Linked DNA regions of Nothobranchius furzeri. The protein of the gene in region 1 purifies or fractionates together with the protein of each later gene. This does not show direct contact. Links are inferred from orthologs where the notes say so. Each region holds a gene or a part of one and is shown on either strand. Other genes may lie near its edges. The genes, in order: ift81, ift74 and ift88.

Region 1 (3,653 bases):
GCTGAGAAAACGACGCAGTTGGAAAAGCAGTTTGAGAGAGAGAGAGAGGCGTTGCTCTGCCTCTGGATCTAAATGAATGAATCCAAAAACCACAGACCCGACCTTCCTTCCTCCTTTCGCTGAATGCCTTTTTTATTTTTTAAGTTGACCAGTTTTGTGTGAAGTCTCAGACGACAAGTGAGACGAGTTACCAGCTTCTCTTGGACAGCCTCGTGTCTCTTCTTGAGAACCTCCTCAGTCCGCTGCAGGACTCCGTACTCTGCTTTCAGCTCGGCCATCTCCTGGTGTTTTTTCGTGTACAAGGTTTTCTTGCTGCGTAACTTGGCTGCCAAATGTTTCAGCTACAAAATAATAATAAAGAAAAGAAACTTAAACAAACACAGCTGCATCAGCAGAAAACACCATTAACCAGCTCTGCAGGTTTATTATATTCATGGAAGCAGCTTTAGCCGTGAGAGCTGAACGGTTACAGCCTGTTTGGAAAATTCTGTGAACAGTACAGAGTCTAAATGTGACTGCTTGGTGTCCAGCACAGCTGAGCTTCTCTGAAAGGCCCTGGAAGAAGACAATGGACTGGGGGGGGGGACATCAGAGGGGCCTGGGGGGTCATGGCACGATCACTCTATCCTTTTAAGTTTCACAGTCAGTAATGACGAGTGAGCAGCTTGATCAGTCCCACCGTGAGGTCTGCCGGGACACGCTGAAGCTCCTCCACAACGGGAGTGGCTATAAATGAGCACGGACACGGGAGGACGGCCCCAGAAAGCACAGAATGTGCTCCGTGTCCTGTGGGGATCCACCAAGTCTGCTGTGTGTGTGCACATTTATTCTTTGTGTATTTTGGGACATCAAGGGCAGACGTGGTGGGGAGAGGAATTAACAAGTGCAGTAACACTGCATTGTGTTCCTGACAGCGTGTCCCTGAAACAACTGCCGTGGGACGGGGCCGCCGCTCAGTTGTTGGTCGTAAAACAGAATCCACACGTTTACCGTCAGACGGACCTCGCTTCACCACAAAAATAATCCTCCGATTTCAGCGTCTTGACTAAAACCAGGTGCTGAGGCAGGGTGATGAAAGGGGTGTGATGTGGGGCCAGCCGCAGATGAACAGACGTAGTCACGCCCCCCCAGCAGCTGGTTGGTGGCGTGTGATGACACACAGCCGTCAGAATGGAAAATACCTCTGATAAAGCGATCACCTCCACCGTGGCTGATGGGCCAAGACTACACAGGAGTCGAACAGAACATTTTCCACCAACATCGTTCATGTGAGGTCTCAAGGGCCTCTTTGTCTCTACAAACAACACCCACTCAGCAGCCTTAAAGGGTCTGAACCTCCTTTTTACAAACTCTGACACATGAACACACACCAGCAGATTACTGCAAGCTCTTAACACACAAAACTGTATTTTCAGCTTCTGTCACATTGATTTTCCTTCCTTCTGTTTTTCCTCAAGAGACTAAACGTGTTAGAAATATCTTTTCACTAATATTTGACGGTTTCTTTAGTTCGCCAGCTGGAATTGTTTGTTTGGGCAAAGGTCTGCTCCTCTTTAGTGTTGTGTGCTAACATCGCAGGCATCTCTTCTCTCGTGTGCTTCAGCGTGTTCCAGAAAGCACGGCTCTGAGCCCACAGATACACGAATGCGTCAAACGTATAACAGCTGTGATTCGCAGGGTTCGTGTGGTGACAGCACCACCCCCGTTCATCAGAGTTCCTTCACTAACACGGATTTTTTTTACGGTCAGCTCTTCTACTGTGAGCCAACAAACTGCTAAGCCTCGTCTCCGTCGTGTCCCAGAAGGACGAGCACATCCTCGTTTAAAGTTCCTGTCCTCCAGGTCTGCTTAAAATGTCCCGCTGAGTCCAATTAGAAGATTTATTGGAGTGAAGATGAAGGAAAAGGCAGGAAGTTTGTCCAGAGCAGTTCCTTGTTCTGGACTGTTTCTCTTTGTGATCTATTTCTGGCCTACATGAGAAGGTGGGTGGGTGGGTGGGTGGGTGGGTGGGGGGTAAAGTTGGACAGTGAGACGGTCTGCGTTTGGATAAGAACAGAAATAACCCGTGGGGTTTTCGGTGCTTTACTAATCTTCTAGGATGAAGTTAAAGTTTGTGGGAGACGCTTTTAGGGGTATGAACGTGACGACCGACAGAGCCGTTCACCTCGTCTTCGCGGATGACCTCCTCCCCAGAGGAGCCTTGAGCCTGGCCGCTTCTACGCTTCAGCTCCCTCTCTGCAGCGGCGAGCACCTCCCTGGCCTCCTGCAGCTCCTTTGCCTTTGACTCTTTCTTTCGAGTGATAATCAGCGCCTACAGAACAAGTGAACACAAACACCAGAGACAATTTTACAGAGCAACTAATGTTTCAGCCTTAAGAAACTTTAGTTTTGAAAAAGGTAAGAAAGACTGGAACAAATGTTAGAAGGATGTGATGTTTTTAACTGTGCAGCTGAAACGACAGAGGATGAATATATTTGAGTATTTCTAAACAGATCTGAGGTATCAGCAGTTTTAGGAGGATCAGGTATGATGAAACGATCACATGACAGCAGTCAGAACCTGCTGCTTGAAGGGAACCAGTTGATCTATGGGGTCGTTCTTCATCATCTTCTTCTCAATCAGCTGGTTTATCTGAGTGTTCACTTCTTTGATCTGTAGGAGTGGACATTAAAGCACAATCAGAACCAAGGGCACAGGAAGAGTAACCCATGAACCCAGATGCAGGTCTGGACCTTGTCTTCTAGCTCCTGGATATCAGCTTGGTCCATTGCAGGCTCTGAAGCCACTTTCTGGAGGTACTGCACCGTGCGCCTCATGCCCTCCAGCTCTTTGGGGAGTTTCTCAGACACCATGTAGGAGTTGATCTGGATCTCCTCTTCAAGTCTCTTCATTAGGCCTGAAAGACACAAACCTTCTCAACAACAGATTTTCTCTGATTACTCTGGAGACTAACTGAAGTATTCATTAATGTGCCAGGCTACTAAAAACATAATAGACTAAATCTCTAGTATCTTGTGAAACTTGAAGGAATGTTCGGTTTCTGGAACCGCACACGCAGCACTTGTACTAAATGACAGGCGTTAACGTGCAGGCCCGTTTCAATGGGAACAGACCAGTTCAACATCAGAAATGGTCTGTAAAATAATCAAAATGTCCTTCAGCCTAGGCCGTGGTTTTGAACCTCCCACTCAGCTGCGGTCTGCAGAAGACTCACTCTCTGGGTTGGTGTTAGCTGCTGCCTGTCGCATGTCCTTCAGCTGCTGCTGCGACCTCACCAGTCTCTGCTCCACCTGGAAAAGCTGAACACACAAAAACAATTACTAGAAAACTTAGCTCGTCATTATTTAGATCTTGCCTCCAGTTTGCTAGATTAATAGGTCCACATTTAAGTCTAGAAGATGAGAGAGTGTGTGTGTGTGTGTGTGTGTGTGCGTGTGTGTGTGTGTGTGTGTGTGTGTGTGTGTGTGTGTGTGTGTGTGTGCGTGTGTGTGTGTGTGTGTGTCAATCTGGAGCAGTTTGTTTCTGCATGAAGACACCATAAATTCTAATGTAAGGATTGTTTTTTCTTTGCAGACTAAGCCATCAAAAGCACATACTTGACGCTTTTGTTCTTGCTTTTGGTGCCTCAGTGACTCCTCTCGCTCCTTCTCCA
Region 2 (3,463 bases), on another chromosome or scaffold:
ACTTTTATGTTCGTTCATGATTAATTATTAAACCACTTTAGATAGAACATTCATTGTAGAGAACACAGCAAACAACCTGTAGATTGAAATAAATAATTTTATGAGACCAAAACAATAATAATTTTATAATGCTTTGTAGGTGGTTACTAAAATTGTCAATAGAATTCAATAAAACATAATATTCCATAAAAATATGGATTATCAATATTACTGAACCTTTAACATTAGATACTTTGGTGAATCCAGGGAGACAACACTTTATAATAATTAGACTCAGAGACAAATATATATTTAATAAAAATCTATTTGTGACTATATCAATGATGATGAAAGGCTAATGATTATGAATGATGACACAGTGATGTTAAATGAGACAATGAATGAACTCTGATGAAACATGACCTGGTGTGTTCAAGAGTTTTCTACGCGACTCAGAAAGGTGTGATGTCTGGTTTATTAAATAATCTGGACGGTTGTTGGATGTCATTTAACAAGTTATCAGATGAATATAAACCACTCTGACACCATTCAAAAATGTGAAGAATCAGAAGGTTTTAATGGTGTTCAGGAGCATCATACGAGATCTGCTGGATTGCTCTGGACCAGCATCCAGTAAAGCAAACACCCAGAACCGATCTGAGATGAAGCAAAGAGCTCGTTAAAGACCATCTGGAAAAGAAAATCCTGTCCCAACTTCACAGTTACCCTAAAGGTCGTCTACTTTAACAGCCAGACTCTCATCCTTAGAATGATTTAGGTGTTCTCCAGTAGCACAAAAATGCTCAAATGTTTATGGGTTAACTCAAAGTTGTGATTTTAGAGGAAAACAAATTCTTAGGCAGGTATTGGTATGAGTCTAGGCATCCATCAGGCTCTTGTTGTACTCTGCCACCAGCTGGTAGACGTTGTTGGTAATGGAGGCGTACTCACACTGCTGAGTCTTGGATGCAATGACTGATGCAGCAGTAAAGGAATTCACCGCGTTCTGCTTTCATTTGCCCCAGTCTTCACTCAGATTTACTAACAACATCCCTAAAGCTCTGAAACTGGAAAAGGGTTCCCTCTCTCACACAAGAATGTGCACTGCAAGTAAAACATCTAAGTAGAATTGTGGATTCTGAAGGATACACTCTTTCATGACATAATTGTTCTGCTCCAAATGCTGCCATTTCCTTTCCAGGTTTGCCAGCTAAAACACAAACACACAAACATCCATGGTGGTTCTGTTCTCTAACTTTGACATTTGGGAATTTGGAATTAGATGGCTCCAACCTGAGTATGAGTCTCATTTTCTTGAAGTTTGGTCTTCTGAGCTTCATATTTCTGGTTCATCTCCTCCAGCAGCTGCATGAATGAATCTCGACGCTGCGCCAGAGATGTCTGGCTCTCCAGTAGTCTCTGTCCCAAAGACGACTTGAGTCAGTGAGCAGATAAAATAAAACGTGTTTGTGTCAGCAACACAGGTGTCGATACCTTTCTCTTTTCCTCGGCTGTGTGTCTCAGAGTATTCAGGTCTCTGAAGGTGTCCAGCTCAGACTTCATGTTGCTGAGCTGCTCCTTTAAGGTGCTGAGCTCACTTTTGATCTTCGCCTCCAGCTGCTGGACCTTCTCCAGGTCCTGGTGCAGACGCAGCGACTCTGGGCGGTGGAGAACAAAGTCAAATTAGCCTGGCATCATTCTGCTTCTGCTACGCTCGGCCTACATTTGGAGGCTAACATTTTATGATATTACGTGTGTGTCAGACCTATTGTGAGTCCTTTGGCAGTGCTCTCTGACTGGACTACCTCGGTCTCCTTGTTGAACAGTACCTCCTGCATGTTCCTCAGCTCACTAGCAGTCATTGTATCCACCTGACGTAGCCGCAGCATGTTCTATAACACACACACACACACACACACACACACACACACACACACACACACACACACACACACACACACACACACACACACACACACACACACACACACACACACACACACACACACACACACACACATACACACACACTTCTTTATATCCCTCCCCTCCTCCACCCCACCCAAACCAAACCAAACCTCACCCTGCTACAGAGCTCCAGGACTGAGACGATGTTCTCTTGACTCTGGGTCAGCTTCTCCAGCTCATCAGCCTCCAACTGCTTGTAAGAATCCAGTAATTCTAAGACAGGAGGAACAACTCAATTCCATGGGCACACAGGAGCACTCTCGGGCATTTTATGGGCAGTCTAAGGCCTAGTCCACACGTAGCCAGGTTTTTTAAAAACGAATATCCACCCCTCCAAAAACTTGCATCCACACCACCTCGTTTTAAAACAAAACTCTGTCCACACGTACCCGGATAAATACGTTGTTAAGGACATGCCAGACCTGTAGGTGGCAGTACTTCCCCCGTTCTTAACCTCTTCCTTCGTCTGTGGTCTTCCGCAAGCAGCAGTAATTCCGCTTGCAAAAACAAACAAGCAAAAAGCGCTTGGACAATTGATAAAGCGAGCGCAGCTCTGAGGGCATCCATGTTGTCGGCTAGTGTAAACACAGGTCGCACACGTGATGTCAGCATTTTTTTTGTCGCGGAAAGTGACGTTGCGGACCTTAAAACTCCGGGTTTGTCCGTCCACACGCAGACACCCAAAACGGAGAAAACGCAGATCTTCACTTTGGCCGGAGTTTTAAAAAAGATCCGTTTTCGTGTGAAAAAACTCAGTTTTCGTGTGGATGACAGGCCAAAACGTAGAAAAATATCTACGTTTTGGCAGATCCCTGGCTACGTGTGGACAGGGCCTGTGTACATTATTCATGCTGTCTAATCAGCCCCTTGGTATGCCACACCTGTGAGGTGGGATGTATTATGTTGGTAAAGGAAAAGTGCTCTCTAAGACACAAGTAAACAGATTTCAGAACAATATTTAAGAGTCATGGGTCTTTTGTGGATGTAGAAAAATTTTTATAGATGTTTGAGTTCAGCTCATGAAAAATGGGAGCAAAAACTAAAGTGTTGCGTCTATACTTTGGGTGATTCAGGTGGTTTCCATTTCTTCTGATCATCCTTGAGATAGTCCCTTCATTGGAGCCCAGTTGTGTTTGATTATACTGATTGGACTTGATTAAGAAAGCAACACAATACAATATATACGACCAATTTCACTTGTAGCAAGACACAGATGTGGCCAAGGTTACAAAAAAAAAATCTCTGTTGCACTCAAGTGTCCTAAGAGCACAGTGGCCTCCATAATCCTTAAAGGAAAGACGTTTGAGATGACCAGATCCCTTCCTAGAGCAGGCTGTCCGGCCAAACTGAGTTACTGGGGAAGAAGAGCCTTGGTGAGAGAGGTAAAAATAACCCAAAGAACACCAGGCTGAGCCCCAGAGATGCAGTCAGGAGACGGATGAAAGTCAGGGCTTTATGGCAGAGTGTTCCGTCGGAAGCCTCTACTCAGTGCAAAACACACGAAAGCCATTTTGGC
Region 3 (3,653 bases), on another chromosome or scaffold:
AGTTTTTAATCCTGTACAGCACTTAGAGTTGCTCATGTGGGTGCTGCAGTATCCTCTTCATTGTATCATTTAAGACGTTTGACCAAAGTGAAGCCATTTTTATCCAGACGGGACCTTGAGACTGTTCCTGCTTTTATTACCTCACGCCTCGACTACTGGTGTCAGTAAGGGCACCGTAGCTGGACTGCAGCTTGTCCAAAATGCTGCACCAAGACTCTTGGACGGCAAAAGAAAGCATGAACACGTGACACCAACCCTGGCTACTCTCCATTGGTTACCTGTAGGTTTTAGAATTTCTTTTAATCTTGTCTAAGGCTCTGAACGGATCGGCTCCAGCTTGTTACAGACATTTGCTCCGGCTCAAACACTCCGTTGTGAGAACAGCTGCTGCTTGTGGCTCCCACGGCTCGGCTGAAGTCAAGAGGTGATGGGCGTTCTCCGTTGCTGGCCCAAAACAGTAGAACGCACTGCCCCCAACTGTTAGGATCTCTCCATCAGCAGCAGTTTTTAAAACAAGGCTGAAAACCAACTTCTACGATCTGGCTTTGACTTGGGTGGGCTAGCTGTTGTGGATGTTTGACATGTTCTTATCTTGTAAGTTGAACTCGTTGGTTTTAATCGTGTCTGCTGAATTAGTATGTTTTATTCTTTTGCTGTACAGCACCTTGGTGGCACGCTTGTGCCGGTGAGGTGCTTTTTAAATAAAGGCTGAGTTGATTCACTGCATGAAAAGTGCTTGTTGAATAAAGTTGGATTTCATTTGATTTAAAGGTCAGACAATAATCAACACGTATCATATCACGCAACAGTCAAAAATACTTTTTGGGTTAATCCTCATGTAAGTCATCTTCTTTACGGTGAATGAATGAGTGTTTGCCCAAGCCGCTTGTCTTCCTCATTAAGAAACAGTGAGCAGGCACAGCTCTGCTGTCAGTTGTTTAAATCAACAACATTTCTAGATGACATTTTGCCACAAGGCTGTAAAAACAAGCAATCTAGCTGTAGAATTTGAACGTCCACCTGTTCTCGGATCTCCTTCATCTTCTCTGCCTTCTTCAGCTTAGTGGCATATTCCTGGACCTCCTTTAGACCCATGTCTGTGGACAGCCTCACCAGGAAACACAGACCTAAAAACACACAGGCTTACTCAGATTCATGGATACAAGTAACTGGTAGCTGCTGGTCACTAGTCCGAAATAAAGGTGCAGTGTGAGATGGTGAATGGAGATGCGTTTCTGGAGCATTTTGGTTTTGCCGTATAGGGGGTCCAGCGACATGAGCAGTGATACTTTTCCTTTGCATTCAGACTAAAACATCAACTTAGGTTTGGTCTGACCAGAGCACTTTATTCTACGTTTGCTGATCCCTACATACCAGACGTTTTAGGTCTTCCTACCAACAAAGGCATTCTTCTTACCATTCTTCTACATGGGCCATATTTATGGAGGAAACAACCTAGTTGTCTTGTGGACAGACTGTCCCGCCTGAGCTGTGGATTTCTGCAGCTCCTCCAGTAGGGCTGACTGGTTAGCGTGCGTGACTTTCACCCGGGAGTCTGGGGATCGAATCCTGATCGGATCTTTTTTTTTATATCCGCCACAGATCTCTCTGAAGAACTCAGCATTGACGGCTTCAGCAACGCTGTGCCACTCCGTGGATTTTCCCTTATTGTTTTGCAAAAGCACTTCCTTTCATTTCTCCACCTCACCCACAGGTACCTCAACTTCTGCTTCGGTGAAATAGCGCTTCCTTGATCTGCCTTGATCTACGGTCGTGATCGAAATGCTGCAACAAGCCGGCTTATGTATATGCATGAGGTCCACAAGGCACTTTGCATTGACTATTTATGGCAGTAAGTGGGCGTGGCGAGGGCGGGATGTGACGAAAAAGCAGCTGAGAACCTTTCTAGGTAGTTTCTGATTTATGAAGCGGAGATTGCGTGCAGCTGTGCGTACTCCATGTTTGATAGATCACACACCTGCTTGGTGTAAGTACTTTTTGTTTTTTGCTGAGTTTAAGTACGGTTTTAGTAAGGATTCTACGCCATGTTTGATAAATGAGACCCCCTGGTTCTGGTCTATAGGGCCTTACATGGACAAGCACCATCTTACATTGGTGATCTTCTTAGTCCCTACACCCCCAGCAGGTCCCTGAGGTCCAGTGATCGAAGCCTACTGGTTGTGCAGCACCAGGCTAAAGGTCAAAGGTGACAGATCATCTGCTGCTGTGGCCCCCAGACTCTGGACCTCTCTCCCCCTGAGCCTGAGATCAGTGGACTCAGTGGTCTCCTTTAAAAAGCAGCTGAAGACTCACTTGTTCAAGCTGGCTTTTGTATGACCTTCTTCACCTCTCTCTCTTTATTCTGCTCTCCCCACCTATTCCACCTTCCTCAGGATCCACTGGTTTCCCTCTTTCCTGTTCACTCTCTCGCTTTCTTAACTTTTTTAATCACAATTGTCTATTTTTGCCCATTTTAAATATATTTAAATCATTTTCTAAATTATTTTTTATATCTGACATTTTTGTTTTTGTGACGCGCCTTCTGGTTTTTATCTTATGTTTGTGTATTTAGCAGACGCTTTTGTCCAAAGCGACTCACAAGTGATCTTGAAAAACGATCTTTTCTTCGTCTTCTTTAAAACCTTTAAGTTTGTGGTTGTAAGGTGTCAAAATGTGTAAAAGTTAAAGGGCTATGACTTCTCTGTGAACAAATCACACAATCTTGGCTCAGAGCAGTTAAACAGCAAGCAAAACCAAAGCAAGGCCCTCTGATGGAACACAACTCTGCTTGTGTTTGCAAATTTTATGTAAGAAGTTGCTTAACATGTTCTGTTCAGTGGGAGGAGGTCCGGTTCGGGGTAGGCTCCGAAGGTTTGCTGTATGTGAACGGCGTCTGTTCACTGTCGGCTGTGGCACGAGTGTGTGTGTGTGTGAGTGTGTGTGTGTGTGTGAGTGTGTGTGTGTGTGTGTGTGTGTGAGTGTGTGTGTGTGTGCGTGTGTGTTTGTATCACAAAGAAAAGAACGGTGTCTGTTGAGGTTCTGGAAGGTTGTTGGTGACAGTGAGTGTGATGATTCTGAAGACAGGAATAAACCAGAAAACCTGAAAGCTTCGTTCTTCATCAATTTAGTACGCTAGCTAATAACATATTAGCTAGCGTACTAAATTGTTTTATGGTTACTTAGGAGTGTTACGTTTGGAAATATAGCAGAAAAGTAACAAACAACGTGTAAATTGGTCAAAAGCATAAGACAACACTATATTTTATGGTCCACAGTATCTGTTGTGTGGTGTTATAACGTTTTCTGTGACATCTGTTGCTTGAAAAAGGGGACTGAACCTTTCAATTGTATTTTTCTAAATGCAGTTTGCCTGAACGTCTTTTTTCAAGAACATCAAAGATACATTACAATCCACATTTTCTGGAAACTTGCGATGGATCTCTTTGTAGGTTTCTAGAGCTTTCTGGTAGTTTCCTGCAACAAAATAAAGAGGGCAAGAACTTTACCGACTTATGACACTTCACATTGTAAATGAGCTAACAGGAAACAAGATTCATGCTCACCGCTCTTTCTGTAACAGCTCGCTTCCATTAGCTGCCATTTCACCTGGGTGGGTCTAAAAGACATGGAGAGAAGAGACAGTCAACCATAAC

What was found.
Region 2: the proteins of ift81 (region 1) and ift74 purify together in Homo sapiens (affinity purification with mass spectrometry; 3 studies listed by BioGRID and IntAct, counting the BioPlex papers as one, with this or other methods). This does not show direct contact. The link is inferred for Nothobranchius furzeri from reciprocal best matches to the Homo sapiens genes IFT81 and IFT74.
Region 3: the proteins of ift81 (region 1) and ift88 fractionate together in Homo sapiens (co-fractionation; 3 studies listed by BioGRID and IntAct, with this or other methods). This does not show direct contact. The link is inferred for Nothobranchius furzeri from reciprocal best matches to the Homo sapiens genes IFT81 and IFT88.

What each region holds. Positions count from the first base shown.
Region 1 is NC_091757.1:28,290,843-28,294,495, reverse strand, and holds part of ift81 (intraflagellar transport protein 81 homolog), read right to left. Parts: coding exon 3,598-3,653; intron 3,301-3,597; coding exon 3,216-3,300; intron 2,898-3,215; coding exon 2,734-2,897; intron 2,654-2,733; coding exon 2,561-2,653; intron 2,312-2,560; coding exon 2,165-2,311; intron 342-2,164; coding exon 192-341; intron 1-191. UniProt on the Homo sapiens protein: Component of the intraflagellar transport (IFT) complex B: together with IFT74, forms a tubulin-binding module that specifically mediates transport of tubulin within the cilium. Binds tubulin via its CH (calponin-homology)-like region.
Region 2 is NC_091747.1:28,197,745-28,201,207, reverse strand, and holds the end of ift74 (intraflagellar transport protein 74 homolog), read right to left. Parts: intron 2,161-3,463; coding exon 2,063-2,160; intron 1,872-2,062; coding exon 1,745-1,871; intron 1,638-1,744; coding exon 1,474-1,637; intron 1,399-1,473; coding exon 1,273-1,398; intron 1,190-1,272; coding exon 1,129-1,189; intron 955-1,128; coding exon 857-954; 3' UTR 536-856; downstream 1-535. UniProt on the Homo sapiens protein: Component of the intraflagellar transport (IFT) complex B: together with IFT81, forms a tubulin-binding module that specifically mediates transport of tubulin within the cilium. Binds beta-tubulin via its basic region. Required for ciliogenesis.
Region 3 is NC_091742.1:29,234,584-29,238,236, reverse strand, and holds part of ift88 (intraflagellar transport protein 88 homolog), read right to left. Parts: intron 3,617-3,653; coding exon 3,564-3,616; intron 3,475-3,563; coding exon 3,409-3,474; intron 1,128-3,408; coding exon 1,021-1,127; intron 1-1,020. UniProt on the Homo sapiens protein: Positively regulates primary cilium biogenesis. Also involved in autophagy since it is required for trafficking of ATG16L and the expansion of the autophagic compartment.